Linked DNA regions of Pelodiscus sinensis. The protein of the gene in region 3 interacts with the protein of the main gene of each other region in a pairwise test. Links are inferred from orthologs where the notes say so. Each region holds a gene or a part of one and is shown on either strand. Other genes may lie near its edges.

Region 1 (10,325 bases), on a different chromosome or scaffold from region 3:
TGCATTTTTACTGTGCTTTTCATTCAAGTATTCAAAATACTTTCAGAAGCATTAGGATATATCACTTTAAATAAACTAACGTTAGTTATAATTAATATCAGTCGGTAAACTGACTTACCTTATGGTCACAAAGTGATAGAGCTACTAGTAAAACCTTGCCTGCTTTTGATACTCATCTGCTCTGATAAATGAAGACTGTATCAATAGTATGTTAAATCAATGAGACACCAAGTGGCTGCATACAATTTGGTTGATTATCAAATAAGTTTTCCCTTGGAAATATAGAATTTGCAAACATTTGACTCTAGGCAGTTGCACCTCTTGAGTTTAAACTGTAACTTCAAACGGATTCAGCAAAACTGCTGCAAAAAGATGCGTGAACTCACTTATTGAAATTTCAACCAACCACTCTTACTTTCACTATGTTTAAATCAATTAGGAGTGGGTTTAAGCAAAACCAAAATAAGCCACCACTTAAATCAGAGTCTCTTCACACATGGGATTTTCACCAGTTTCACTAACCCAGTTTAATTAACTTGATGCAAATCTACATCTAGACAAGAGCCAGGTTTTTTGAGCCATTTTAACTGGTGCAAAAAAGCATAAGACCTGAGAGTCTTATGATGGGTTCACAGAAGTCAACAGGGAGGTTAGATCTTGCAGACCTTATAACCTGCGTAATGGAGATTGATGGAGCTTTCAAGGTGTGCAGTTTGGTCCTCTGTTGGTAGTGCGAAGAACTGGAAAAATATATTATTTATGAAAATCATGTGTGATTCCTTTTCCTTATTCAGTTGCATATCAGTGTAGGCCCCAGCCTCCCCCCAGCTTCAGAGTCCCAGAGATTCAGGAAGCAGTGCGGCCTCAGCCTGCCCAAACTCTGAAGGTCTGGAGAGACAGACAGCAGTCATGGCACAGGGGCTAGAGCCCTGATGCACGGAACCCTGACCAGAAAGGCAGCCGCAGCCAAAGTAGTCCCAATGCTGGGAGGACAAGCAGCAGAACCCTAACTTGTCTGCCCCAGTCTCTGGCATCACAACAGCAGGCTTGGGGTGTAGGTTTGGAGGACTCCGGTGGAGCATGGGCAGGGCTAGGTGAGGCAGTTTGGGAAGGCAATGCTTTCCCCTACCTACGATACCTGTCAGCCACGCTGGTTCCCCCAACTCAGAGATGGGGAACAAGAGCTGCCTGAGTTGTGTGTAATGAGGTTAAATGTAGGTAAGAGAAGAGGTATTTACATCTCTTGTTTTAACTCGACCTCTCAGCGCTATGGGTCATCTGAGTGAAATAAATTATGCAAGACATTGTTTTTGTAGCACTGCCAATCCATGTCACAGAATTCCAAGGAAAATCGTATATGTATCATAGTGCTTGGGTAACATCTTCCTAATGATATACAATTCAAGGAGATTAAATTTATGTATGGAGTTTTATTAGGTATATAATGTGGAATTTCTGCATGCAGACTGGCAGCCTGAAACACTTATAAACTTCCTACTCTTGAATCAAAACTAAATATTATACTTGATTATCCACCATAGCTTCAAAGTTTCTTGAACCAAATCATTTTGTTTAGCAAGTGTATAGATTCCTCAAGCTACACAGTTTGCTATCTCTCTAAACCAGACGTATTTATAGAGAAGTTTACAAAAACATTCATACCTATGAAGTTTTTAATTTTCAGTCCACATACCCCTTATATGCAAACACTCACAGTAAATAGTAGAAAGAAATTTTGAGGGGGTTGTTAGGAGATGAGGTAGAAATCACTTTTGTTAACTAGAGCATCACGAATGTTAAGGTGTTGATGTCTGAAAGTTTTTTTTTTTAAAGTCCAGATAGGTTTTCACTTTTTGGGACAGGTTGCAGGAAGTGAGCAAAGGAGAATAGTGAGTAAGGTGCACACATAGGATGTACTATTTTTGGTGAGGCAGTTTGAGAAGGCAATGCTTTCCCCTACTTACAATACCTGCCAGCCATGCTGGTTCCCCCAACTCAGAGATGGGGAACAAGAGCTGCCTGAGTTGTGCTACTGAAACACGAGATTTACAGTGAAATTAATAGGAATTTTATGATTAAAAGAAGAATCAGGGAGTGTCTAGCTTATAATTTAATGCTTGATATTAGTGTATTAAATGATTTCTCACAACACTCTTATGAAGTCAGGAGGCACAATACCCATTTAATGGGCAAAAGAAACTGAGGCAGATACTTGCCCAAGGGCACAGACATGAAAGCTTGGATTTCAACTGAGGTTTGCAGCCTTGTGCTCAGACCATTACAGAATACTGTCTCTGTTAAAAGAAGTGTCACCAGATCTGATGTAAAATTCGCACTCAAATCTCTGATTCCTCCCTACCACTGAACCCTCTTTACTTAGGTAAGAAAACCCTATGTCAATGATGAAGGAGGAAATGTAGCTACTGAAAACAATGAATAATTTTACCGACACTTTGATCTGTGTAGTAGTGTTGATTTCTGTGCAGTAGGAGCCTGGAGTAAAAGAAAGGGAGAGTAACTGTGTTCGAAACAATTTTCAATCACACTTTTGATCATTTTGATAGCTAAATGCCTGATTCGCCAGTGCAGACAGAGATGTACATATCTACACAAAAATTAACCACAGGAGTCAGGTGGGTAAATCCCTAGACTGGGTTTTAGGATGCTGGATTCAATTTAGAAAGCTCCACCAGAAGCTTCCTTTGTGGCCTTTCTTACTGTGTCTGAATTCTACATCAGTAGAATGGAGAAGGTACTTCTTTTCATGTGTTTAGACTAAGCTCTTTGACTAGGAGTAATCTTACGGTATGTATGTGTAACGTGTTCAACACACACATTAATCATCATTAGCACATTGCAAATTACGAGCATGGGCATTATTATTAACAGCTCTATTCTCATTTTAGCCAAGTTAAAGAAACTCACAATCCCAGGAGAGGGATATTGTCACCTGATGTTAATACCCTAGGATAGAGAATTTATATCCGCTATTACTTCTTTTGCTCATACTACACACTTGTAGAGAAGAAGAAGCACTAAGTAGTTTTGGTCCAAAGTTTAGATTGTGGAAAAGGACAACGTTTTTAAAAAGGAAACAAATCCTAATATTAGCAGTAGTGTTTTCCTGGCATTTTAAATTCTTTTATAAATGAAAAACCTTTTAATTTGGATTCCAACATCCCTTTTTAGTGACTGCAATTCATACATTGCAATCAGCATGATAAAGTGAAAGCAAAACTAACAAAAATTACAAATGCTAACGAACAAACAAATTAAAATGGTAAATTAGTTAGATTTTAAATACCCTATTTCAATCAGCTGTCATGAACAGCAGAGGGAAATAAATCTGATTTTTATCTTTGTGTTTTTGACATTTAACTTTAAGTCAACAAAAAAATCTAAATAAATTTTACAGTAAAAGCAACTTACTCCACCAAAATGCTCCTCAGTTATTTCAGTTACTGTGTAATGTTTATGTAACATGCTAATGAACACAAAGTGAATGAATGTGAGTCTTACCTTATTTGCTACAGATGCTTCAGGGTTAAGAGGTATCTTATTATTGTCTGCTTCATTTTCCTCCTCAAGTCCTCTCTCCTCCTGTAATTCAATAACCTGATATTCATGGTCAGGAACACCACCATTCATAACTTCCACTTCTGAAAGAAATTTTGACTTTAAGGCAAAAATCGAGACTTCTCCCTTCTTTCTTGTTTCTGCTGTTATAATGTTGATGACAGGCCAGGGACAAGGTTTGAGATGTCAGCAACCAGGGTCAGCATAACTTACAAGCAAACTGTCTCAGCAACTTGAGTAAACAAGGGAAATCCCATGGAGCTGGGAGCGGACTGGGAGTGTATCCTCTGAAAAAAAAAATTGAATGAGAGAGAAGTACTGATTTGCTTAAGACTTTTGAAACCTAAGTGTTTATTCTCAGGCTGTGTCATACTAGATTTTCCAGTTTGGTTACGTTACTACACCAGCCCTTCACCAACACAAGCAACTAAGTGAACCTGAGGCAACATGGTGGTTGCAGAAGGAACAAAGTCAGCAGAGGAAGTAATTATCTTCATCTCAGAAGAGAAAACAGTGTTTTCAGTCAAGGCAAACAAGCAATATCCTTGTCACTGGTCTAACTAGAATTACAGGACACGTATGTAACACCATACCTGCAAAATACAAAGGAACCAAAGCAAGCTTATATTTATGCAGCACTTCTTCCAAAGAAAAGAAACCAAAAAGTTTAGTAGACAAAGTAAGTCTGAGCATTCAAGTTCAGGTCTGAAGTATCCTTAAACTCTAGAACCCAGGGTCATGGCTTTGTTTCATGTAGCTATCACCTAACCCAGCATCTCCTGGAAAGGTCTCAAAATATTCCTGATGGGATCTGAGCTCCTTTTGCTCTTAATCCACCAGTTCCTAGAAAAGTAGGAAAAGTCAACAGTACACTTTCTGTTGTTAAGATTTGCAATCATTAACCTTGTGTAAGCCTAATGAAAATAGCATTCCAGTTTCAATTACCTTTCAAGGCCAGAGTTTGCCAATGCACTAGCTTCTAAAGTCTGCACCCAGATCTGTACTTGATGGTTGCTTCTCCCTCTCACACACATACTGTACATTCACACACACTCTATATGTAATGGGCTGAACTAAAACCCTGGTGTTGAAGCCACACCCTCGTATGTAATTTTGAGAACTGGATCTGAACTTTGTGGCCAAGAGTCATATCTAAACTGAAACGGTAGGAATGCAATGTCCTTCTGTGGTGAAAATATTCACAGTCTTATCAATATATGGAGTAAAAACAAACTCAAGGTTTGGAAGGTTAAGTACCTCTCAATTTCACTTTATTTAAATCCATTGATTTGAACTCATCTACAGCTTAAAGGCTGTGACTGCAGTTCTGAGCGCATTACTTCATTTCAGCAGTCCTGTCAAACTAGTAAATAGTCATCCCATTTTATTAAAAAGGAAAAAGTGAATGAAAATTCAAGAAAAAAATACATTAGTCAAATACTTTTAGAATTTTAATATATTTAGAGGTTAGGATAGTGATTTTACATTCAATAAAAATTGGAATTAGCATCACACACTTTACTGAGATAATTATATTTAAAAATGAGTCTTAAATACAAGAATGATGTAACATGCGGACAATAATAAAATTCATTCCTGTACCTACATGTAATTTACAGAATGCCTTCCCCCGACATACTGTACAATGAGTCAGACTGAGTTAAAAATAAATGAAGGTAATATTGCCAATCTCAGGAGAGATTACAAATAATTAGACGGAGTCAAAATATGAGGAATTTTAAAAAAGATTGCATAATGGTTTCAGTCTTTGACTACTCCCCTGCCCCCACACACACTTTCAAGAACAAGAGCATGAGAAAAAACGAGACAGGGAGTTTCACAATTACCTTACCCACTTTCCTAAATGTGTTACGTAAGCTGATTGTGACTGCTGCTGCAGGAACTCTTATCCTCGTATCAGCCCAAGCCCTGCTCAGTAATTCATTCTGCCCCCAGCCTCTGAATCACATCTGTTCCCTCAGTTGATACCAGTTGTATCCCTGGCAGACTTTGCTCTTAAGTTCAACCCAGCCATTGCTCTGTTCCTCTGTGGGTTCTTCATCACCCTCACCCAAGGGTGGGGTGGCTTCAAAGGGGTACCCCTTGCCACTTTCAGGTTGGAGGGAAAGCTTCAGCCTCCCCACCCCGTTCACATTTTACATGCCCCAATGCCAGGTGCTGCAGAAGGAAGGGAAGAAAAGCAGTGGAATAGCCTTGAACTTGCCTTTCTGCTCCCTCCTCCCCATGACCTCTTATCAGAATGGCTTTGGGTTGCCACAGAGGGGATGAAGGAGGAGGAAACAGCGCACTGCCTTCAGAAGCTCTGGTTGGCTGCCCACTCCCTTTGCCCACCTCCTGGGGAAGAGTAGTCACTCAGAAGGCTCAAAATATACTAGAGGGCTTGAGCTACTTGCATCTGTAAGACTGGCTCCATCCCAGCCAAAATCCCATCACGCATGACCAAAAAAAAAAAAAAAATCACAAGAGCTGGCTGCACTGTGAGGGGCATGTTCATATCACCCAACCATGCGTGTGTTTTTAAGCAGGGCAGGGACTGGAATCCAAGTCGTCAACTACCATATCATGTTACCTCAGGTCTGAAAACCTAAAACAACAAGATATTGACATACGTTCCATTAATTTTAATGATACATTTGCTTCAATCCTCTAGACAACTATGGAAGGCTCAGTCTGGGTCTATCTACTGAGAGGAGGAAAAACCCTTGTGATCAATCTGCAGAGCAGGAAACGACCATTTCTATCAACTCTCCCCTCCCCAATCTAGGACTCTCTGGGATGGACATTGAGATTCATCCCTTCCCACTGGCCAATAGGGAGAAGTGGCAGCAACTATGAGAGACAATGAAGCAGCAAATAATCTGGTACTTGGGGAAGTGACAACCGCATAGTAGGGAAGAAGCAGCAGGGAAGCTGCCTGAACACCATTGCCTGGCAGCTTCCCTCTGCAGAGCAGGCCACAGCTGGATCTGGGAAACCATATATGGAGCAGGGTGTGATGACCAGATGTTGCAGCCAGGCTCTGGATGCGGCAGAGACTGGGCAGGGAACCAGCGTAAAGGGGTTCTAATAAGTCACACTACTCCCTGATCCTGGCCTGGACAACTAGACAGTCCTATTAGCATTTAATAAGGAACTGCACTGGAGAACGTACCCTAAACACTTTGCCTGAAAAGCCATTTAGTAAGCCCAAATAAGAACCACATTTTTTCCCACTGTTGAAGCCACTGAACCAAGAGCATTTGCAACCTTTCCTCTAAGCTAGTAAAATTCCCCTTGCATTTTCTCCAAGTATCTGAGGGGTTATTAGGATAAATCAGGGCTAGCCTCCCAGTGTATTGAATCACTTTCAGCCTTGCCTCCCAGTGTATACCCGATACACTGCGAGGGCCTCCGAGGTTTTATGTACCATCAACCTGAGCAGATAGAATAATTACAGAGTAACAACTACTGTAGATCCAGGTGTACTTCAAGCTGTTTTGACTGCAACATATACTATCCAAAAGTACAGATTCTTATTAAAATGTACTCTAATCTTTGGGGTTTCAAATATCATGCAGTAAAGCTCCTGTCTCTCTCTGTGTAAGAGATAATTCATGATAAGCCTCTTATTAGTGTCTCATATCCACAAGAGTTAATTTGAATAAGGCTAATACCATAGTAGTCAGCAACAAGCCCGCCGACGGGGGAAGGGGACAGAGCAGTTAACTGCCTCAGAGCCCAGCAATTCAAAAGTGCCCAGGGCTCCCAGCTCACACTTCTGAGGCAGCAGCCAGAGCCCAAGTCCTTTAAACCGCTGCTGCGGTGTCAGAAAACATGCTCCAGGCGGCACTAAGAGCTGGTAGGAGGGTTGGCACAATCCAGGGGGTGCTGAGGGCTGGCTGCCCCAGCACCCCACTTCTGCCCGAGGCCCTGCCCTGCCTGGAAGCATGGAGCTGGGCCACTGCCATCACCACGCCAAGGGGCCTCGGAAGACTGTCAGCCCCCCTGTCAGCTCATGAGACTATACTGAGGTTATATAGTGTAACATTTGATAGTGGCAAGGGAGCTTGAGCATGTAGGTTTTCGTTCGGACCAGAAAGAAAAAAAATTCTCTCACCATCTTCCTTTAACTGAACCGAGCTCTTCTTAATACACTCAGGATTTTTTCCTGTTCTAAAATACTATCCCTCTGAAGACACCAACAATGGTATTTCAGTCCTGGAATGATTAGGGTCTGAACTTCAGGTTCAATGTGACTGACTTGTGCTACACTACTGATGGAATTTGATCTTATGTTTGTCTTTACCGGCCCAGAGAGGATCATGAAAATGGAAGGGCCATGGCAGCTTAGTGTTATCTTTGATCTTGAATGCCAAACACCCTCTCTGCTAGTAAGCTTAACAAAGAAAGGGCACTTGGCTACCAGAATGCGAGTGCCTACATCACAAACCTGAGCTATGTTTTTGGCCTCTCCTGACTATCAAATCTGTATTAAGATAGAGCAACCTGAGGGCTCCTATAAAACACAATACAGGAGGAAGCAGTTCTCCATAGCAGCACTGTGACCAAAAACTTTTAACCCACTTTTGCATACCACCCTGACTTGTAGTGTATGTATTTTGACCAGATATGAAAAGACCACCCTTGATCCCATTTGAAACCCAAACACACTGCATAAAGTGTGCATGTATATACATATTTATGTATGCTAGGGCTGGAGAGGAATTATCCAAGTATCCAACAAGCTTTGGTTGGACTTTGGCTCAAGGTTCCAATCCATCATTATTTCATCCAACCCTGTTTGTCCATTTTTGGTGACGAAGAAAATGAAGATGAGTCCATGGAGAAACAGTTACTTTCCATTCAAACTGCTTCTGCAACATGCAGAGATGTTAATTACCAATTTTTATGTCTTAAAAAATATATATATAAACATAAACTTCAGCACAAACATCTAGTTTCCTTATCTCATTATAAAACATGTATTTCATGGATTACTCCAGTAAAAATGATGTCTCCTGTTTTCTTCTAAGCACATCAGTTTGTGTACTGACGAATCCAATCATAAAGCTCTGTCACCTTTGTATATACACCAGGGCGGTTACGTCGAGCACATCCTTCACCCCAGCTGACAATACCAGCAAGATACCATCGATTTCCCTTTCCTACACAGGCCAATGGACCTCCAGAATCACCCTAAAGCAAAGGACACAGCTCAGTAATTATAACAAACATATCGCACTGTAATTATATAACACATGAACAACAGATAATTTCTCCCTCAAATTATAATATTTTCTATTTCTGGACAGTGGCTGTACATTTGTTTATACACCCAGTTCATGTTGTAACATTTCATTACAACCAAGACAACTGAAGAATGCAAATTAATAGAACTAGGTTAGGGAGTATTTGATTTTTATTAGTGAATGAGGGTAAATGTTACTCTGAATACATGTTCCATAAACTGACAAAAAATATTTTCCCCAATAATAATAAAACTTACAGATAGGCAAGAAAGAAAAATGCTGCTTGAGAATTACAGTTTGATTTAAGGATATTTTCTTTGTGTGATATGATGTTGACAATCTGCTTTAAAACTATTAGAAAGCTTTAAGTGTTTGAATTTCAATATCTATGGTCATTACGCGATTATTGTCAGACATTCCCATGTGAAAATTTAAAACGAGTGGAAATAGAAAATGCTTATAATAAATGTTAATATAATCCATCCACATCGTATATATAGTACCCATTGTCTGTGAGTCTATAACGCTGACGTATATGGCCACGCCCCCTGGCTGTATACGTCAGCGCCCCGCCCCCCTTCCCTCCTTCCGTGGCAGTTCGGCCAGCCCCATGGCCCCCCCGGACACTCCCCCCCCCCAGCGCTGCTTCCCTCCTCCCTTCCTCCGGCCCCTCCCCCCCCCCCATTTTCCCCTCCAGCCGCCACTTGCTCCCTGCCGGGGCCCAGCTGAGCACCGCTCATCTGGGCCCGGCAGGAGCACCACAGCATGCCATGGAGGGAGGGGAAGGGGGGGCAGGGTGCCACGGAGGGAGGGGAAGGAGGGGGGCTGGCCAGAAGAGGGTGGGAAGCAGAGATGGGGGGGGATCAGGTGCTGTGGGGCTGGAGCGGAGGATGGGAGGGGCCCAGAGGAAGGGGGAAGGGAAGCAGCGCTGGTGGGGGGTGTCCAGGGAGCCGTGGGGCTGGCTGGCAGGTAGAGGGGGTGGGAAGCAACGCTGGGGGGAGGATCGGGGGCTGTGGAGCTGGACGGGAAGAGGGGGCAGGAAGCAGTCCTGGCAAGGGGGGAGGGGTGCAGCGCGGACTCTAAACGGATGCTTGCCGCCGAGTGCTCCCCTGGCGGGAGCGCCGCTCAGCTGAGCCCAGGGTGGCAAGTGGCCGCCGCTCAGCTGGGCCTGGCAGTGTGCCACAGAGGGAGGGGAAGGTGATGGGGCACCACAAAAGGAGGGGAAGGGGGCGGAGCTGGCCGGAAGGGGGGCGGGAAGCAGAGCTGTGGGGATCAGGGGCTGTGGGGCTGGAGGGGAGGATGGGGGGTCCCAGAGGAAGGGAAGCAGCACTGGCGGGAGGGAGGTGGGGGGGTGTCCAGGAGGCCATGTGGCTGGCCGGCAGGAAGAGGGGACGGGAAGCAGAGCTGGGGGGGGGAATCAGGGGCCGTGGGGCTGGACGGGAGGAGGGGGGGGGGAAGCAGACCTGGTGAGGAGGCGGGTGCAGCCACTGGCCGCAGCCG
Region 2 (9,694 bases), on a different chromosome or scaffold from region 3:
GTAGACATACCCTGTGTCAGCTGCATAGCCTAGGAGCAGCATAACAGATCCAAACTTATTTCCTTTCTTAGTCAGAGGCATGTTGCATGTTCAAATGATTTACATTCATTCATTAAACCAACCTTTCCTCTTCCATGAGGCTCGCTCCATTTCAGTGGCTTCATTACCCAGCGAGAGTGCCTGAGTTATCCTCCTTCCACATTTGGAGAAAATGTCAGTGAACAGATGGCAAAATGTGCAGTATTTACACACCTAATTTTCCAAGTTTTTAAGGAAGGATAAGGACATATGTGAGCTTCAAAAACAGGAACTTTTGGGGTAAATTAGCAATACATTTTAAATACTATTTCTTAATCTTAGCCCATTAGGGGAGAAAGCCGTTTTCAGGGAATGTGAGTTGGGGGATGAGTCCCATAGAAATACTACCAGTTTCTGATGGGAGACAGTTATTTTCAACCTTTTAATACAACAGCTCTTCCCTCCTGGATCAAAATCCTTTATTTCTCGAAACAGTGGTCAGTTTTATGGCTATACCCTTGGGACACAAAGGGTACGTCTAGACTACATGCCTCTGTCGCCAGAGGCATGTAGATTAGGCTACCAGACATAGGAAAATGAAGCGGCGATTTAAATAATCGCCGCTTCATTTAAATTTACATGGCTGCCGCGCTGAGCCGACAAACAGCTGATCAGCTGTTTGTCGGCTCAGCGCGATAGTCTGGACGCGCGGGTGTCGACATCAAAGGTATTTGTCGACCACCCAGGTATACCTCATCCCAGGAGGCTTACCTGGGTGGTCGACAAATACCTTTGATGTCGACACCCGTGCGTCCAGACTATCGCGCTGAGCCGACAAACAGCTGATCAGCTGTTTGTCGGCTCAGCGCGGCAGCCATGTAAATTTAAATGAAGCGGCGATTATTTAAATCACCGCTTCATTTTCCTATGTCTGGTAGCCTAATCTACATGCCTCTGGCGACAGAGGCATGTAGTCTAGACGTACCCAAAGAGCACCAGATGGTGAGAAGTGGCAATGTGCCCATGACATGTAAGATGTCCTGAGAATTTGTTTCAGTGGAGATTACCCAGAGTCAACTGCACTTCTTAGGGTTATTTCTCTATCATTGGTGTGGACGAAGAATTACAAGTGAATTAACTTTTCCAGATATTTTTTACCCACAATTATGATTCAATTTTAAGATTTAATGAACAGTGCATTATTAAGTAATGGGACTGGAACAACAGAGGATGAGCCAAGCTGACTTTTGTGTCATTTCTTTGAAAGTTGTAACTTTTTTTTGTACAAAGGCCGAAATATACGGTACCTAAAAGTGTCATAATTCACTAGTCTGATCAAATCACAACATTGAGATGTGACTTTTTATGCCAGTGGTAGTGGATTTCAGAAGAGAAAATTTCAGTTACTTATTTTCTCTGAGCCCATTTTATTCTATTGCTCTCAGTGAGTCTCAGCTAAACAAGATTTTTTCCTGGATTGTTCTATTGAGAGTAAAATGTAAACATTTTGAAAGAGGACATTTGAAGGGCAAATGAACCAAGCAATATTGTATTATGAATTCACAGCACAGTGTTAAGATTTTTAGTATTGTATTTCCATGCAGTTTCTTTTTGTGACAATAGAAAGTAAACTTACATGTCAAAAAGAGAAAATATAATCTACAAAATGTGCTCAGAAGTCTGTCATTACTGGATTATGCAAATTTACTCTGAAGGCTGGAAAACACATTAAAGGCAAGTTTCATTTCCCATTATATTTTTGAGTAAGCCTGGGCCAAAGATTTTATCAGTTTGGTTACAAAGAGCTGAGGTTCTTATTTAAAGGGACCTTGTCAGGTTAAAAAGCATAAACAAATTCCCTTACTTGGGTTATTAATACTTTGAATTGATTAAAACTGAACTATTTAGTCTTTCTTTTTACCATCTGCAATGTCTGTTTGTACTTGCCTCTGCTTAAGATACAGAAAACTAATCAAGCAGTTTTGCTTTTAGCATCTCATTGAGTGATGTAATGTTCCTGTTTCCAAATACAGCAGTAGCAGTTTTAAATTCAAACTGAAAACTATTTTCATTTTTTCATCAGATGTAACAAACATCTGTATTCATGTCAGATTCTGTAAAAGTTAAAAAAAACCCTACATTTTGGACCTATGTTACTTATGCATATTCTTTTATGGATTCCACGTTTTTATGGTAATACTTGTTGCACCTTAAAAGCAAAAACTACCTAAAACCCAAACTGCAATGAGCTGCATGCAAGCAAAGTCCTGCACTTGCATGAGATTCATAGTGGGATCAAGCTCAAATTGCTACCTGTGCCAGATATTATTAGCATTGAAAGAATGTTATTTTAAAATATCTGACCTGAAGGCTGAAAATATTCCTTAAAATTCCACTGCACTAATCAATAGCAGATATACATTTTAAATGCCTTACTGTGAAGCTTCCAGAAAAAAAGTTAAATACCTGTTTGCTTCTAACATACATAAGTAACAGATTATTTCCATGTTTATCAAAATATTGTAGGCACTGTAATATATAATTTCAGTGTTAAAAAGTCGGTTGTAGTTGCAGTTGTAGTTCAGGGACAAAATAGATTTTCCTGGAAATTATTTTGCATAAAGATTGTCTCTCGTAAGATTCCTTGGAAACATTACCAACCTTCACAGCTTAGTCTGAAATGGTGGACAGAACATGATTTTTATTTTCTAGTCAGATATTGTCCTGAATCTGTAATTAAATCCTTGTGGCAGTTAGACACTTATGCTGGAGTGGTGTCTTATTGAAATCAATAGGGCTCTTCATTCTCATAGGGGTCTAAGTGCATTAATCAGATTACAGGATCCCGGCTTCATTCTTATAATAAAACATGTGCCCTGCTTGTTTCAGTAGAATGACCAAGAGAACATTTCTGGTACCCTTAAAATGCAACCTTATTTTTTTAACATTTCTTCCCCCCCCCCCCCCCCCCAGAAAATAAAGTCACTAACTTTGTTATTTCATGGTGCACGTTTTTTATATTTCTTTTGACCCCTTTTGCAATAACCCATTATTTGTTAACTGCCAACAGTAGCATAAGTATTGTGTCAGATCCAGAACTATAGCCAGGCTTTATCTAGAAGGATTTATAATCCACAGGAGAAACCCAGAGAAGATAGGTAGAGAAGGCAATTTCGAAGGAGTGGATTACAGTAGGAATTTTTTAAAAATTCCATACCTACATATATATATATATAAAATCATGTTTAGAATGGTATTTTTGTACTAGCCAATTAGCCCGTCGTAAGACGGGATTTTCAGGTCTCTCCCCCACTTCCTTGGTCTTCTCTCCTGAGCCTCTGGTCTCTTGCTCCATCTCTCTCTCTCTCTCCTTCTCCTCCTCCTACAGCCTCCTGCCTCTCTCTCTCTCTTCTCCTCCCCCTCTTGCCTCTCATTCTCTTTGTCTTCTCCTCCCCCTTCTGCCTCTCACTCAGAGGACCGTGGAACCCAAATGGCCGCTTACGCCACTTGCTCTCACGCGGTGGCCTGGCTGAGCGGCACAGAAGTCAGCTGAGTGCCACTGTGGGAGGCAAAGGACGTGACTCAGGCAACAGTGCCGCTCAGAGGGAACAGCCAGGGAGGAAACAGCGCCACCACGAGGGAACAGCCAGCATTTCAGCGTTACAGAGTCACAGACACTGGGCTAATATATATATATATACATATATACTAGCCAATTAGCCCGTCATAAAATGGGATTTTCAGGTCTCTCCTCCACGTTGGTCTTCTCACCTGAGCCTCTGATATCTCTCTCTCTCTCTGTGTGTGTGGGAGGGGCGGGGGGGGGTGTCCCCTCCTCCTACTGCCTCCCCCCCAAGCTTTCCTCCACCTCCTGCCTCTCTCTTTCTCTTCTCCTACCCATGCAGCACAGGCCGCCCAGAGGGAACAGCCAGCATTTCAGCATTACAGACTCAGACACTGGGCTACTATATATATGCGATGATGCTGGTTTCTCTTACATACCTTGATTTTTAAGAGAGACAGTGGAAGGAATGTTAAAAATTTGACTTAACATTTCCCTCCTTTCTCATGTGTCTCTGAAGTTCTTAATAGTGTAAGAAGGGGAGGGTGTATGGGAAGGTGGTAGAGGGTCAGGCTGAGGGCAGAAGGACAAGGGTGGGTATGCCAAGGACATTCAGGAAGCAGGATGTAAGGAGATGGCAGGGCCTTTAAGGGTGAATACAAAGTGTTAAAAGTTGCACATAGGGCCATTTTGTGAAGGAGATGCAAGGGGGCTATGGAGGGATTGGTCAATGATGGGGAGGTGCAATACAGGGCACTAGGGAAAGAGACAGTTGGGTGGATGCAGGACAAAGGTGGTGTCAGCCCGGCGTTTGGGGGACGGGAGGTTGTGACAGACCTCTGGAGGTTGGGGAAGGCTGAACAGGGCGGTGTCGCGCCGCGGGAGTCGCGGAGGGGCTGTTGTTTGCGGGGCAAGGCCGTGCCGGACCCCAGGAGGGCGAGGGGGATCAGGGCAGTGTCCGGCCCTAGAAGGTTGATGGGGAGGACAGGGCAGAGAGTCCGACCCTGGAGGGGAGCGGCTGTTGGAGGGGGCCAGAATGGTGTCAGGCCCCGAGAGACTGGGGCGGCTGGGGGACAGGGCGGTGTCAGGCCCCGGGAAGTTGGGGAGGGGGCAGGGCGGTGTCGGGCCCCGGAGGGCGGATGGGGGCAGGGCGGTGTCGGGCCTCGGGAAGGGGGCAGGGCGGTGTCAGGCCCCGGAGGGCGGCTGGGGGACAGGGCGGTGTCAGGCCCCGGAGGGCGGCTGGGGGACAGGGCGGTGTCAGGCCCCGGAGGGCGGCTGGGGGACAGGGCGGTGTCGGGCCCCGGGAAGTTGGGGAGGGGGCTGGGGAGCGGCGGGGAGGAGCCGGGCCAGGGCGGGGTTCTCGTAGCCGGGAGCGCCCCTGGCGCGCTTGGGAGAGCGGCACGTCCCGGGCATTTCCCATCGCACTCGGGGCTCCGCGCTCCGCCTCTGGGGCGGGGCCGGGCCGCCTATAAGAGACGCGGCCCAGCGGCGGGTTCTCCAGTTCCAGTCGCCTGGTTGTTCGCTCCTGGTCCCCCGCGCATCATGCAGCCGCTGTCAGCGAGGCGCCCCGGGGCGCTCGGCGCCGCCGCTCTGCTTCTCCTGCTGGCCGCCGCCTCCGCCGAGTCGGTGAGTACCCGGGCTCCGAGCGGGGCCGCTTGTCCTCTCCCAGGAGCCTCTTCCCGCCTGTGCTTGTGGGGGCCCCCTCGCCCGTCCCGGGGGTGGCAGCGACAGCCCCGGCGCCCGCCCTCCTGCGGCCGCCCCGGGCTCCAGCATCAGCACGTGGCGCCACTAGCGCCCTGCCCTCATAGCTGGAGCGTGAGTCAGGCTGCCTCGACCGCGGCTTGCGGCAATCGCCTCGCCGCTGGGGCTTTCCTTCGCCCTGTGCTAATCTCGGGCTGCCCAGGGGAAGCCCAGATCAGAAGCTGCTGCTTCTTCCCTAGAGGCTCCCCCGTCCATAGCCCAGCTGGGGCAAGAGCAGCACTGCTCCGATTCCATCCTGGTCTCTTGATCTCGAGCGAGGTTGAATTCCTCTTCAGGGGGAGTCATGGATGAACCCCTGGCTTTGCTCATCAAGAAGGAAACGGGCTTTTCTGAATAATTGAAAGGCCTTTCTTTCCGGATGACTTTGCGCTTGCTCCTGAAGCAACTTATAGCCATTTTCTAGGGAGGGGGCATGCTACTTGGTAGCAGGGCTTTGCCGTAAATATGGTCACCATGTTCCCCACCTCTGAACTTTGAGTAGGAGGAAGGAACAGGCTTATCTAAGTCTGTCTCTAGTTCTGTCGGCTTGCGTATTGAAAGGAGTGGGGATGAGGGCGGAAAGTAGCTGGCTTCCATCAGAAAAAATGCTGGTGATACGTTTGTGTGGCTTGATGGATTCTGAACCACTCACTGTTCGTTATGTATTGCCATATAAGTGAGGAACATTTTCTTGTCTTGCCATTCAAATGGCTCTGTTTGCCTTTGCAGTGTTATGCTTCCAAATACCATTTGCCTTGTCTACCTGACCTTTATGCCCCAGAGTCAACTCCCCACTTGCCTGTCTCTACACCACATTCTTGTTTTCATTTCATCCTTATTGCATTCTCTTCCTCTGCTGGATCAGAGATGCCTTTCCTCTCCTTTGCACCAGCACAGGATCCTCCATCTCCACTTTTAACTAATCTACCACAATACCTGCTATTTCTCTTGTGTTCCTTTATCTCTGCCTTCTCCCCTTCTGATTCTGCCTCTGTGACTACTGTGTCCTTGGATGGGCCCTGCTCTTACCAGAGATGCTCAGAAGTGGGCTACCAGGATTGTTGCAGATTAGGCTTGAAATACAATGGTAGCGTTTGGGGAAGGGATGGCAGGATTTCTATAGTAAGGCTGTAGATTAGGATTAAGAAGCAAAGATGTATGCAAGAGCAAAAGCCTTGGGGAGGATGGGATTTTTTAAAACCATCACTCGAGTATCCTATTTTGAACTTGTAAGGTGCTCAGATACCTTTTACAACACTAATCACTGTAACCAGAAATTTTACATGCTTATCTAAATAAATGTAGTTCTATTGTGACCCCTCATTTTATGGGCATTAGATCTTTTCTAACTTCCAGGGAGGTGTTCTGGGGGAGGGAAGATGATCTGCCATTTGTAATGCAGAATGAGCCTGGACCCTGTGCACCAGTTTTATTGTGTGTGTGTATATATATATATATATATATATATATATATATAACCTCTGGACAGAGGGGTTTCAAGGCTCTTGACTTCTATGTCTACCCTAAAATAAAAAAGCTTCCCCTCTGACGCTTGCTTTTATTTTGGTTAATAGGGACTGCAATAGGACTGGGGAGGTTGCAAGAGACTTGAGTATCCCAAAACTAGATTTAATCATCCCTACTGTTTCACATGAAGCCTGAGATTCTGTAGGCAGGTCACTACTTAGTACTCTTGTTCAAGTTTCTGCCCTGAAACTTTGCTGTTGCTGTCTAATCCAAGATGTTGTTGGATTAGCAAGAAAACTCTCAGACCAGAATACATGAAGTGTCTACTCTTAACATTTGGCATCAGCCCTCTTTATGAACAGCAAGCCTGAGTAAATTCATCAGGTAGAGATCCTTGTGAGAACCTGATGGCAGCCACAACTACTAAAGCCATTAAGCATAGCACAGGACACAAGCTTCTTGGGTCAGTACAGGTTTTGAATGCTTTCCGACTGCATTTGATAAGAAATTAACATTCCCTATAGCGTGCTTGGGGAATATAATGGGCTGTAGGTTTGATATGCAGTGTCCTAAAGCATTCAAACAAAAAACAGGACTGTGTAGCACTTTAAAGACACACGGTCCTGTTTTTTGTTTCAGCTGCACCAGACTAACACGGCTACATTTCTACCACTAAAGAGTTCAGATGCCTACAAAGAAAACACTTCTGGATAGCTGTATCTCTTAGGGTACGTCTACACAGAAACATTCTTTTGAAATAACTTAGTCCTCATCTACACAGCAGGCCGTTATTTCGAAATAGTGTCAAAATACTGTCAGGCTGGAGGACTCCAACTCCTGTAACACTCATTGTATGATTAGTAATGAAAGTGGTTGGGGGGGGGGAAAGCACTCTATTTTGAAATGAGTGCTATTTTGAAATACAGGCAGTCCCCGAGTTACGTGGATCCGACTTATGTCGGATCCGCAGTTATGAACAGGGCTTTTCTCACCCCAGAGGACGGGAGCGGCAGGACGCCCAGATGTGCCGCGGTCCCGCTGCCCGCGTCCTCCGGGGCAAGAAAAGCTGCTCCATGTCTCCCTGGTCTGCTGGGGGGATAGCCCCCCCCCCCCCCCCCCCCCCAGCAGACCAGGGAGATGGGGAGCAAAGACGCGGAGGACCCGGGCGGGACCGTGGTGTGTCTTGGTCCCACCGCCCGCGTCTCCCTGGTCTGCTGGGGGGGGGGGGGGGGCAGCTAGTGTGCCCCCCTCCCCCCCAGAAGACCAGGCTGTTCTCCGGACGCCTGTGGTAGAGCAGCTGGGGCGCTGCCGGTTGGTCCCGCAGCGCCGCTCTGGGTGCTACTGGACCAACCCGGCAGCACCCCAGCTGCTCTGCCCCAGGTGTCCCCAAGTCAGCCGTTGCTGAAACTGACCAAGGGCTGACTACAGGAAGCCGGAGGCAGAGTTGCTCTGCCCCGGGCTTCCTGGAATCAGCCACTGATCAGTTCCTCGGGCTTCCTGGAATCAGCCACTGATCAGTTCCTCGGGCTTCCTGGAATCAGCCACTGATCAGTTTCAACAGGCTGAATCTGGACGCCAGTTCCGACTTACATACAGATTCAATTTAAGAACAAACCTATAGTCCCTATCTTGTATGTAACCTGGGGACTGCCTGTAAACTATGCAATTGATGTAGCTGAATTTGCATAGTTTATTTTGAGTTAAGCCCTGCTGTGTGGTAGCACCCTAACTGCTTATTCTGAGTTTGCAGAACACTCGGTACTATGTATTGCTCTGTGCTTAATTAGTTTGGCTGTATGCTAGAGTTGTAGCTGAACTTACAGCATCAAGTTTGCTTTAGGAGAAGTGCTGGTAATGGGCATGTCCCTGGTGAGGAGAGGGCTCTGCAGTAATGCAGCATCTAGATTAGTGTGGCAGGAGTTGGTCTCCTTTTGTTGTGTTTGGTGCAACATGCTGGATTACACAGCATGTCGCTTGTAATCATTTTTATATCCAAAATCGGGGGAGGTTGCAAACACATTGTTAGAACTCCACAGAACATGGATTCTTTCTTGTGTTTGTGTAAGGGGCAGGGACTTGAGGGCTATGCTATCCTGTCCGTGGATGTTCCTCCCACAGAGCCCTGCAATGGAAGAACCAGAAATGTTTTGGAGGAAGCTTTGCTTCTTTTAGGGGGTATGTGATGTTGCAACCAGGTTTTCTCTGAGGCAGCCTTACACATGTAAGAGGACTGAAAATATTCCTGAAAGGTCCATGGCATAATTCTTATGCTCTGGTTATCTTAAGGAAAAGACTGGAGCATGTTAACATGATGTAATTTTTAATGTGAGGACATTTCTGTGAGCCCTGTTGAATTTTAAGTATGGAAGATAGATATCTGAGGAGCTGTGCTTCTCTCTTTTAGGCTGTGTCTAGATTACAAAGGTCTGTCTGAAAAAGATACACAAATTGTGAACCGCAATTTGCATATATTTTTCTGCTTTTCTTCTGAAAGAGGCTTTTTTGATAATTGTCCCCTCTACATTGGGCCAAATGTTGGGGGGGGGGGGGAGGGGGGAGGAAGCCTCTTTCAGAACATCCCTCCTGCCTCATAGAACTAAGTTTACAGGGATGCTGAAAAATGCGTCTGCTTTTCCAAAAAAAATTTCAGAAAAGCAGACGTGCTCCTTGGACACGGCAGAGCTTTTCTGGGATACCTATCCTGGAAAAAATCTGCAATCTAGATGTACCCATAGAGGTTGGACTGCCACATCATAGCACCATTTCATTTACTAGTCCGCACTTGTGACATCCAGAAGGTTTCTTTTTAATTAAGCTTTTATTAAATGGGATATGAGAAGATGGGTGTGAGTGGAGCAGGTAGGATCTGTCTAGTTTATTAATGCTTCAGCGTTAATAATACTTCTG
Region 3 (10,333 bases):
GCGTCTTTCACTGCTCGCCCCGCCTGGGAGACGCCTCGCCGTCGTGGGGGCGCGTTCCCGGGGCGGACCACGTTCAAAGGATGCCCACAGGCCGTGTGCTGAGCCCCACGTAAACCCAAACCGCCCCACGGGCCGCAAACCAATGTACCGCGTGTTGAGTAGCCCTGCCCTACAGCTTAGGCCGGGGCATCCCCCCAGCCCCCGCCCATTCTAACCCTGGGCTTCTCTGCCGAGGCTGCTCAGTGGGCCCTGGTCTGGGCTGCTGTGACCTCGGCCTTGTCCCCGCCATCACAACGCTCCGACCCGATGCCCACGTCCGGGAGGCTGTTGCTCTCCAGCCTAGCGGGTCTGCACGCTCTGGCTCCAGACCGTCCCCTGCCTACCTCCTTGCACCTGGAGTTGAACACCTCCTCCATCTTCTGCCGCGTCTCTGGCACCCAGCATTTCTTCATGAGGGGGAAATAGTGCGGGTACTTCAAGGTGACCTTCAGCTTGCCGTCCTCCGTCTTCTCCAGGGAGTTCAGGAAGTCGTCAGGGAGCCCGCCTGGGAGCGGAGGAGACAGACGCTAGCTGCAGCCCCCCTACCCCCTCCCCGTGCCGTGCGCGCTGGGCAGCCCCGTCGGGAAGCAGGAGGATGCACATCGGCCTGCCGACTGGCGAGTGCACCGGCCAAACGGGGCTTCGATGGCAACTCAGCTGCTGCCCAGACCAGCAGCTGCCAGTTGCTTCCGCTGGCTCTGGCCCTTAGCCAGCGAGCTCAGAGAAGGGGCATCCCTGGAGACTTAGCACCAAGGGAAGTAAATCTGCCCGAAGGCTCCAGCAGGCCAGATTCCTCCGTCCCAGAACAGCCCTTACCCAGTTCCTCCTTGGAGAAGGGCAGGGAGGTGGTGTCTTCGTTCAGGTTCTTGTTGAAGTCGATGCACAGCAGGCTCAGCCTTTTCTTAATGGCTTTGATTTTCTTTAAAAAGACACACGCGGAATCAGACAAAACTAAATCAGACGGGAGGAAGATGAGCAGAGTTAGCTCTGCACCATCCCCTAGAGGCTGATCATGCCCCCCCCCAAACAGAGCTGGCCGTGCAGAGACACAGACACAACGGGGGGACAGGCGATTGCGGCTCACGCCTGGGGGGAGCCGGGGCTTTGGCGTGATGGCTGGGCTATTTGGGGACAGTTCAAGGAGCTGCGGGTGTCTAAGGCCTGTCCAGATCTCATTCCCTCTGCTTGTCTGTTTTAAACCTGGTGTCAAGCTCCCCTCTGATCTGCTAGCTCCTACCTGCTGCAATGAGGCCCATGTGAGTTACCCTACTCAACATGTGACACTCCAGCTAAATCCGCTCGCCGTTCCCCAGACGCTCTGCCCCGCTTTTGGGCTGGATTCATCCCTAGGCAGCTATGTCCTATTGTGACTCCCCACCAAGGATCGCACAGGGAATAAAGATTAGCTCCCCGGTATGACAGGGTCCCGGCTGAGAGTCTAAGAACATAAGAACGGCCGTACTGGGTCCGACCAAAGGTCCATCTAGCCCAGTAGCCTGTCTGCTGACAGTGGCCAGCACCAGGTGCCCCAGAGAGGGTGGACCGAAGACAATGATCAAGCGATTTGTCTCCTGCCATCCCTCTCCAGCCTCTGACAGACAGAGGCCAAGGACACCATTTTATCCCCTGGCTAATAGCCTTTTATGGACCTAACCTCCAGGAAATTATCTAGCTTCTCTTTAAACTCTATTATAGTCCTAGCCTTCACAGCCTCCTCTGGCAAGGAGTTCCACAGGTTGACTACACGCTGTGTGAAAAAGAACTTTCTTTTATTAGTTTTAAACCTGCTACCCGCTAGTTCTTCTATTTAGGGAACTAATAAATAACTTTTCTTTATTATTTAGCCGTCAGATCTCTCTGTACAGCTACTGAGGGTTACTAGTGATAGACTCACCTCCTGCGTCTCCTCCGGGAGGTGAAGGCCATTTCGTTTACCCAGTTTGATCAGCCTCTCTAGATACCTCTTGGCTTCAGGCCTCAGGGAAGCAGATTCCCTCTTCTCCTGTCAAACAGAAAGGGGAGTGTCGGGAGCCGACAGGCAGGACGTGGCGTTTGCTAATCTACAGCCGCCACACAACCACAGCACATTGTTTGCGTCGGTCCTATGGCTGGAGGGTGTCAATGTCTGCAGACCCCAAACTAGACGAAAACAGCCCCCTAGAAGAGTCAGATTCAAGAGACTGGTCCCCACTAGATTGTTTTCAACACGGGTCTCAAAGCCCATCCCAAATTGCTAGCCGATGTCGGGCCTCTATGGGATGTAGGGCAATGTCACCAGCCTCCTTTTACAGAGGGGGAAACTGAGGCACAAAGGGACAGGACTGGCTCACAGTCACACAGCTGGTCTGAGATTGGATCCCAGAAGGAAACTGAGGCACACAAGGACAGGATGTGCTCATGGTCACACAGCGAGCCAGAGGTGAGACTGCATCCCAGAAGCCCCGAATCCCCAGTCCCTTGCTCTAACTACTAGACAACATTGCCTTCGTGTTGTAATTTAGCTCTCAACTGAACAGGAAAGGTGGTAGGGAGAGGCACTCATGGAAATTACAGGGAGGCCCGCAGACACTCCCTGTTGGGATGCTGGACCTGCCATCTTCTCAGCACTGAGCCACGCCGGTTACCCCTCCCCAGCCGAACCTGGAGCCAGACGATCCTCTGGTACACGTCCTGCCTCATGCTCATCTCCACATCGAACTCCGAGAGCTTTTTGTCCGCCTCCGTGCTCGCCGTGCGGATATCTTTGTGAGGGGAGACGTGCTGGGGGAAGTCCAGCATGTTCCTCTGAACTGCAACGACAAAGCCAGGAGCTCAGACTATAGCTGGAGCCGCCAGGTTAGGGAAGGAAGTAGGCGGCAGTTTCACAACCCGGAGCCTGACATGCACCCAATCGGCGGGGGCAAGGCAAGCCACTCCCACCGACATGCCCCACACCCAACCTGAAACAACCCTCTCTAGCACTGAGCTCCATCATCCACAGGTCCTGGAGTCAGATCTGCCGGTCAACTCTACACTGCAAGTTCTTGCTGCTCCGGATAGGATCTCACAACCCTACAGCTCTATTTAGCAATACCATTGATAACACCTGTCCCTTACAAAATGGCCTGAGACCAATGTTCCCTCTATAGTTTTGTTGACAAAAGTCCACTTTTGTCGACAAAACCCTGTAGTCTAGACACACTCCTAGTGATCAGACTGAGGAAAAGATACTGTTGTAGGATTTATGCACCACAGAAAACAGGTGTTACCCTCTGGGCCAGCTTCCTTTACAAACATGGTGTTACTTTTTCAGAGCATTTTAGCTGGAGTCGTAAAGAGAAATAAATTGTTTGCACAGGAAAAGGAACCAGACACACACATGCCTGCTCCTCCCACACCCGATCATAGAAGTTACAGCTGGAAAAGCCCAGACTGGTCATCAGTGTGCAAGCTGGGGAGAGGTTCAAATCTTGCCCAGCTCATTAGCAGGTTGCCCACAGCTAGGTTTGTGTTTCTATGGGGGGTACACATTCGCACACGCCCCAGCGTGCATAAAAATGTATTCCGCACATGGCTGGAAAAAAATGCACACGTGGCCGGAAAAGATTAGAGGGAATATTGCTCGTCACCCAGTCATCTCTCTGCCAACACATGGCTGATCCCTACAGCACATCGCCTAGCCTTTTGTCCAGATACTGAAGCAATTGGCAACTTCAACGTCTTAAATGTTGTTTTTTAAAATCACAACTAGCGGGGCTTCCAGCTTGGAAACCATCCCATTGCCGAAGTCACCAATGGGCCAATTTTTCCCGACATTCTTTGTTTCCCCATCCACAGACTGGGGGTGGTGGGAAACAAAGGAGGCAGATGCTTTGGGATCTAGTGATTCAAAGGAGCCCTTTAAATTGCTGCCTGGAGCCCCTTAAATCACCGTTTGGAGTACTGTGCTCTAGGCAGCTCTCAGGGCTGCCTGGGAGGTCGGGGCACCACAGAATCCAGGCAGTGCTGGGGAAATGGGGGGGGGGGGAGGAGCACTGTGGTCCAGGCAGCATGGAGGGCTGGCCGCCCCCAGCTCTGCCCCCTCCGTGTGAGGTCCTGCCCCTCCGGGGGCTTCCTGCCAGCCATCTTGCCCAGAGGCACTGAGCACAGCAGTTGGATCCCTGCCCATCCAATTTCATCCTATTTCTCCAAGTTACACGCTTGTGTAGAAACCCTACATTTCCTCCAGGTAAGACAGGCTAATGGAGTTACACAAGGAAAAGCCAATGATTCAGTTGACCAGAGACGCACACGATCTAAAAACCACTCAGCGACTAACAAAAGCTAGAAGGGTTCCAGAAACAGCCAAATCCTGTTTGTCCACATACCTGTATACTCCACTTCCACATCAGCTAGAATTTTGAGAGTATTTTCATAGGAGACCTCCCCCTGCTCCTGGGAGCCCACGTGGTCGTATACTTGCTTGGTCTTCTCTAGGAGCTCCACGGTCATGTTTTCTATTTGCTCTGCTGTCAGGTCCCATCTTAGCCGATTCACTGGGAGTCTGTGGGACTGGCTGTCCACAACGTTACCTGAATAGGTTGGAAAGAGATCCATCTCTCAGATATTGCCCTAGAAGAGGGTGGAGAACTAACTCACAGGGACTCAAGAGACAGGTACGGCAAATACCGCAGAGCTCAGAAGAGAACCTGATCTGTTTGAACCAAAGAGTAAAAAGAACAGTTGCAACACTTTATGCCTCCTATGTATGGCAACTCCTGGGTAAAACTTGATTCCTTAATTAGCTTGCCCTAGATCAGGTTTGCTATTGCAGAAGGGCTGGCAGAGATGTGTGGCAGAACCTTGCAACACTGGTTTCGGGGTGGGGGAAGTAACACACAAAGAACCCAGAGAACTGGTGCAGGAGGAGGCAGATGTTGGGAAGGCAACACTCAGCATAGGCTTAATGAGAAGACAAGTGACTGCAGCAGACCCAGCAGCAGAGCTGCCACCCTCCCGGTGCTGGGAGTAACTCCATGCTGGTGAGCTTTCTCTCTGAGACTCATTCCGGCTTGGCAGAGCTTTGCAAACCTGGGGAGGAACCTCTTCTTGCTTGTAGGGGGATATTTAAGGGTCATGCACCCTGCCCCCACCTTCCTATCCCCATTCCCCCAGTCATGCATCCTGCCCCACCTCCCCAAGCACTGTCTCCAACACACGTAAGAGTTACCTGCTCTCCCCACCCCTCCCTCCTCCTCCATCCCACACTGCCCCCCAACTCCACATCGTCTTCCCATGCCCCCGCCCTACTCCCCACTCTAGACTTTGCCCCCTTCCTAGATATCCCACCTCCCTATCCACTCACTGCCCCATCACCCCGCCCCCACTGCCACCCCCTAAATATACCCTCCCCCAGTACCCCTTCAGCCCTCCATTGCCATCCCCTAAATATCCCCTCCCCCCATCACCCCACCCCCACCCCCAAAATATCCCCTCCCCCCCACTGCCACCCCCAAAATATCCCCTCCCCCCATCACCCCACCCCCACCCCCAAAATATCCCCTCCCCCCCACTGCCACCCCCAAAATATCCCCTCCCCCCATCACCCCACCCCCACTGCCACCCCAAATATCCCCTCCCCCCATCACCCCACCCCCACCCCCAAAATATCCCCTCCCCCCATCACCCCACCCCCACTGCCACCCCCAAATATCCCCTCCCCGCCCCACACGCGCCAGCCGGGCGGTACCTGTGGGGGGCGCCATGGGGGGGCGGGAGGAGGCGCCGCAGCCACTGACGCTCAGCCCCGAGCACGCGGGCCGGGGGGGGCGGCGGGGAGGAGAGAAGGAGGCAGCGCGAAGGATTCTGGGAGGGTGGAGGACTGCGCGGGGCCAGCCGGGGGCGGGGGGAGCTGCCTTAGCGCCCCCTCCCGCGCTACGTCTCTATGGTCAATCGCGGGGAAGAGGGGCCCTGCCTGAGCGATCCCACAATGCATTGGTTCACCCGCCCCCATGGCGTATTTCCGCTTCCGTCTGGCGGGGGCGGAAGGGGAGGCCTGTTGCGCATGCTCGCTGGCTGGCATGGGCGGACCCGCTGCTGGGCGCGTGAGTCGCTGCGAGCGGCGGAAGTGTGGGGATGGAGGGCGGCGCCGCCGAAGCCTTGGCGCCTGCGCAGTAAGGGGGAGGGGCTAGCGCGCGTGCGCAGCGTGCGCCTGGCGGTGAAGGGGCTGAACGCAGCTCGGAGGCGCCTGGTGAGTAGCCGGGGCCCGCGGGGGGGCTCAGTCTCCGCCCCCCCCTTGTCTCTGGGGCGCTTGGCTGGGCCCTGGCCCGGGGGGCTGGGGGCCTGGCTGGGGGGAGGGGGGTTGGGGGCTGGCTGGGGGGAGGGGGGTTTGGGGGCTGGCGGGGGGTTGGGGGCTGGCTGGGGGGAGGGGGGTTTGGGGGCTGGCGGGGGGTTGGGGGCTGGCTGGGGGGGCGGGATTTGGGGGTTGGGGGCTGGCTGGGGGGGCTGGCTGGGGGCTGGGGGGGTTGGGGGCGTTGGGGGCTGGCTGGGGGGAGCGGGGTTTGGGGGCTGGCGGGGGGTTGGGGGCTGGCTGGGGGGGCGGGGTTTGGGGGCTGGGGGGGGTTGGGGGCTGGCTGGGGGGCGGGGTTTGGGGGCTGGGGGGGTTGGGGGCGGGGTTTGGGGGCTGGCTGGGGGGCGGGGTTTGGGGGCTGGCTGGGGGGCGGGGTTTGGGGGCTGGCTGGGGTTGGGGGCTGGCTGGGGGGCGGGGTTTGGGGGCTGGGGGGGGTTGGGGGCTGGCTGGGGGGCGGGGTTTGGGGGCTGGGGGGGGTTGGGGGCTGGCTGGGGGGCGGGGTTTGGGGGCTGGGGGGGCGGGGTTTGGGGGCTGGGGGGCAAGCAGGGGCTATGCTGATTGTTGAAACTGGCTTGGGGTGACTGTTTCCAATAAAAGCTCTTTCAGGAAGGTGGCTGCTGGCCTGGACTTTGCTTTATTTGGGGTTTAAATAGCAGCTGGCAGCTGGGTCTGTTAACTTGAAAGCAAAAGTGACGGTGGAAGGTCTGATGGGTTTTTCGTCTCCTGTCAAAAATGATGAGTGAGCTTTTCAGCTGGGGTGGGGAATCTCGTGCCTGGGGGCCGGAGGCAGCCTCCAGCTTGTTTGGATCCAACCCTCAGGGCTCCCCCCAACATTGGGGAACTCATGCTGGCACTGCAGCTCCCCCGCCATTGCCCTACAGGACTGGAGCACACAAAATCTGCTAGCCAGGCCCCCCTAAACTCTAGTGTGGGAGAGGAATGTGGGGAATGTCTTTCTCCTCAATCAATTTTTGTTTTTTGTTTTTTTCTTTGCTTTTCACTTGTGTGTGGCCCTCAACTGATTTTTCTGTGCATCAGCAGCCTCTGACCCGAAACAGGTTCCCCACACCTGTTTTAGCCATGTCTAAGCTAAGAGTGCCTTACTGGTGTATGGATACCGGTATACTATACCAGCAATGTGCTGCCAGTGTGATGCAGTTTATACTGGTCTAGCTTATTCCACTCACACTCGGACAAAACCGGTAAGCATGCAGTTACTTCAAGTATCTGCCTTAAGGGCTTCTTCCAGGACACTGGTTAGTCAAGGATCACACCTCTGTCTAACATGGCTATGCTGGCAGAAGCCTATAGTGTAGAGAGGGTCTCTGGGAAAAAAAGTATATCCTGCGGGAGTTTCTGGGCACTGGTGATAGCATTATATGTTCTCATAGTTCAGTAAAAGCAGGGGGGGCTATTCTGTATGAAAAAGCAGAAGTAGGATTTGAAACTTTCCTGAAGTTTAGTGTAAGGATGCAAAATCCTTTTTAATTCGTTAACCAGTTAAATGTTAAGCTTAACTGTTAACTGATTAAATGGGGGTGGGCGGGCTGGAGCGGCCCATGGGTAGGGGCTGTGTCAGGCTGGTTGCTTCCACCCCATGCTGGCCCCCGTGGGCTGGGAGCCGGCAGCCAGCCCTTCACCTGTGACAGGCCCTGGCCTGCTCCCAGGCAACAGATAACTGTTACCCAGAAAGCTTTGTCCATTAAGGTGGGCTTAAATTTGGGTTCCCCACTCCTGAGATCATGTAGTACTTATTGTTGCCATGCAGTGAAGTCTGAGAACCTCTGCTTTAGTTAACAAAGCTGATTTATTTAATGTCTCTGGATGTGCTATCATTTAATTCCATTCAGTGCGAGGCTGAGCAGACTTCCTCTGTGCTGAGGAGCAAGTAGACTTGCCAATGGGTATAAGTATCTTACTGATTGATTAAGTTATTCAATTATAGGTGGATTTCTACTTAAAATAGGTAAGGGTTAACGTTCATTGCCGGGGGGAGGGAAAGCACATGGGGAAACCTGTCCTGTTGCTGCACATGCTTTGTCTGTCTTTAGTGGATAGGGGACTTTGGTTGCTGGTAGGGATGTGAACAGGTAACTGGTGAACCAGTTCCCAGGGAGCAGCCCATGGGAGAAGGGCTGCTCCAGCCCCACCTGGCCCCAACGGGGGTGGGGTGGCAGGGACTGGGAGCAGGAGCCCTGCAGGCTGGAGGCTGCTTTAGCTGGGCTAGAGCGATTTCCCCCACCCAGGATCCTGCTTAGTTGGTTAAATGTTACGTTAACCGTTCCTGGTGTTAGTTGTCATTGACGGGTGTGACCCCAAGTCATGAGTTTGACATGAAACTTTCACCTATTTTCTTCCCACTTTGGAGATCAACTTGTCCCACTCTGCTCTGCTTGGTGCTTAGCAGGGTTACTTTTGCAGGTGACTGTTGTTTTTTTCTGGCATCTTATTTAAATTTAGACTCTGCAAAGTTAAATTGAATCTTTCTCTGCTCCCACGCTAACTGCCTGATCATCTGTGCAGAACTTCTTCTAACGCTGAACTAAGTCTTTTATTGTTAACCGGGTCGAGAAGTATAAGAGCCAGCGATATCCAGGGCATGGTGGGAAGTGTGATAGTGGACTGGCACATGACTCCCAGTGCGGTCTTCCTGAATTATTTCCAGCTCTGATATTAATGTTGGGCAAAGGATTCTGCCTCTTGCGCGCAGTTTCCCATCTCTGAAATGGTCGTATGTGTACCGAGCAGGGGTCGGGCTAGATTGTCAAGTGTCTTCTGCCTAGGCCACAGGTGGGCAATAATTTTTGATAGGGGAGGGGCACGCCATGATTTTGGTAAGTGGTCAAGGGCCGCACTTTTCTATGGAGTAAGTCTGGGGTGGAGGTTGGGTGCAGAAGGGAGCTCAGAGTAGGGATGTAAGCAACTAATCGACAAGCTTATGGTTATTGGATAGTTGATTAGTGATGTGACTAGTTGCTTCCCCCACTTGCTGCCTCTATCAGAGAGAGGCAGCAACTGAGGGGAGCAGGAGTCGGTGTTGTGGGGAGCCAGCTTAAAAGCTGGTTTCCCTCCCAGCACCATCTCCATGAGGGACAGGGGAGGTAGAGGCACAGCGGGGAACGGCATGAGTTGGGACTGAAGAAGCACCTGGAGTGTGGGGCACTTCCCCATGTTCCCTGCGGGGCTTCCTTTTGAAATGTACAAGAGCCTCACTAGGGCTCTAGTACATTTCAAAAGCTGAGGCTCTTCAGGGAACCAGCAGGAGTCCTCCGCTGGCCCCACACTCCCTGTGGGGCTTTCATTTTTGAACAGTAGCAAGAGTCCGGCAGTTGCTGCAGTTCAAAGACGGAGGCGCCCTTATAGACTAATCATATAGCTGATGGAAATCCTCTCCACTATTTGATTAATCTAAATGTAACATCCCTAGTAGGGGATTTGGGTGCAGGACAGGATGTGGGGTCTGAGAAGGAGTTTGGAGGAAGGAGGGTGTTGTGACCTGGCACAGGGGATTGGGATGCAGGATCTGGGAGAGGGTGTAGGTGCAGGAGAGAATTCTGGCCTGGGGGAGGGGGCAGAGCTGGCCAAGCGCCAGAGTTCACTGTCGAGGGCCGGTTAACCAGTAGGTCTCGGGCTTACCAGTATGCTTACTGGTGAACTGTTTAACATCTCTATCTTCACTGTTGTATTCAAGGTGCGTACATCACTGTAGTATCTGAGTGCTCACAGTCATTAATGTTCACCCTCATAGCACCCCTGTGAGGCAGGGCCATGCTAGTGTCCTCATTTCACAGGTGGGAAACTGAGGCAGGGAGAAGTGACTTGCCCAGACTCTCACATGGACTCTGGCAGAACTGGGTATTGAAGGCTTGAATTATAGGGCAGAGCCCTAACCAGTGGACCACCCTTCCCCTCCGTATAGATGGCCGTATTTTACTTAGCAGAACCTTTCTGTTTGCCCTGTTGCTCATTAAAGGGAACCATTTTTTT

Evidence for each region. The genes of interacting proteins can lie anywhere in the genome.
Region 1: the proteins of SGTA (region 3) and C1H3orf52 interact in binary tests that used the Homo sapiens proteins (3 or more experiments, as listed by UniProt). The two-hybrid records come from large-scale screens. The link is inferred for Pelodiscus sinensis from reciprocal best matches to the Homo sapiens genes SGTA and C3orf52.
Region 2: the proteins of SGTA (region 3) and SDC4 interact in binary tests that used the Homo sapiens proteins (3 or more experiments, as listed by UniProt). The two-hybrid records come from large-scale screens. The link is inferred for Pelodiscus sinensis from reciprocal best matches to the Homo sapiens genes SGTA and SDC4.

Annotation. Positions count from the first base shown.
Region 1 is NC_134711.1:156,899,335-156,909,659, reverse strand, and holds the start of C1H3orf52 (TPA-induced transmembrane protein), read right to left. Parts: upstream 4,644-10,325; 5' UTR 4,522-4,643; intron 4,513-4,521; exon of another isoform or gene 4,170-4,512; intron 3,864-4,169; 5' UTR 3,790-3,863; intron 3,660-3,789; 5' UTR 3,649-3,659; coding exon 3,520-3,648; intron 1-3,519. UniProt on the Homo sapiens protein: Has a role in LIPH-mediated synthesis of 2-acyl lysophosphatidic acid (LPA). LPA is a bioactive lipid mediator involved in different biological processes, and necessary to promote hair formation and growth.
Region 2 is NC_134728.1:24,185,538-24,195,231, reverse strand, and holds the start of SDC4 (syndecan-4), read left to right. Parts: upstream 1-5,051; 5' UTR 5,052-5,122; coding exon 5,123-5,206; intron 5,207-8,178; exon of another isoform or gene 8,179-9,694. UniProt on the Homo sapiens protein: Cell surface proteoglycan which regulates exosome biogenesis in concert with SDCBP and PDCD6IP.
Region 3 is NC_134729.1:17,548,288-17,558,620, forward strand, and holds the start of SGTA (small glutamine-rich tetratricopeptide repeat-containing protein alpha), read left to right. Parts: upstream 1-6,090; 5' UTR 6,091-6,247; intron 6,248-10,333. Other genes in the region: THOP1 (thimet oligopeptidase), read right to left, coding at 384-544, 856-958, 1,934-2,041, 2,680-2,828, 4,386-4,614. UniProt on the Homo sapiens protein: Co-chaperone that binds misfolded and hydrophobic patches-containing client proteins in the cytosol. Mediates their targeting to the endoplasmic reticulum but also regulates their sorting to the proteasome when targeting fails.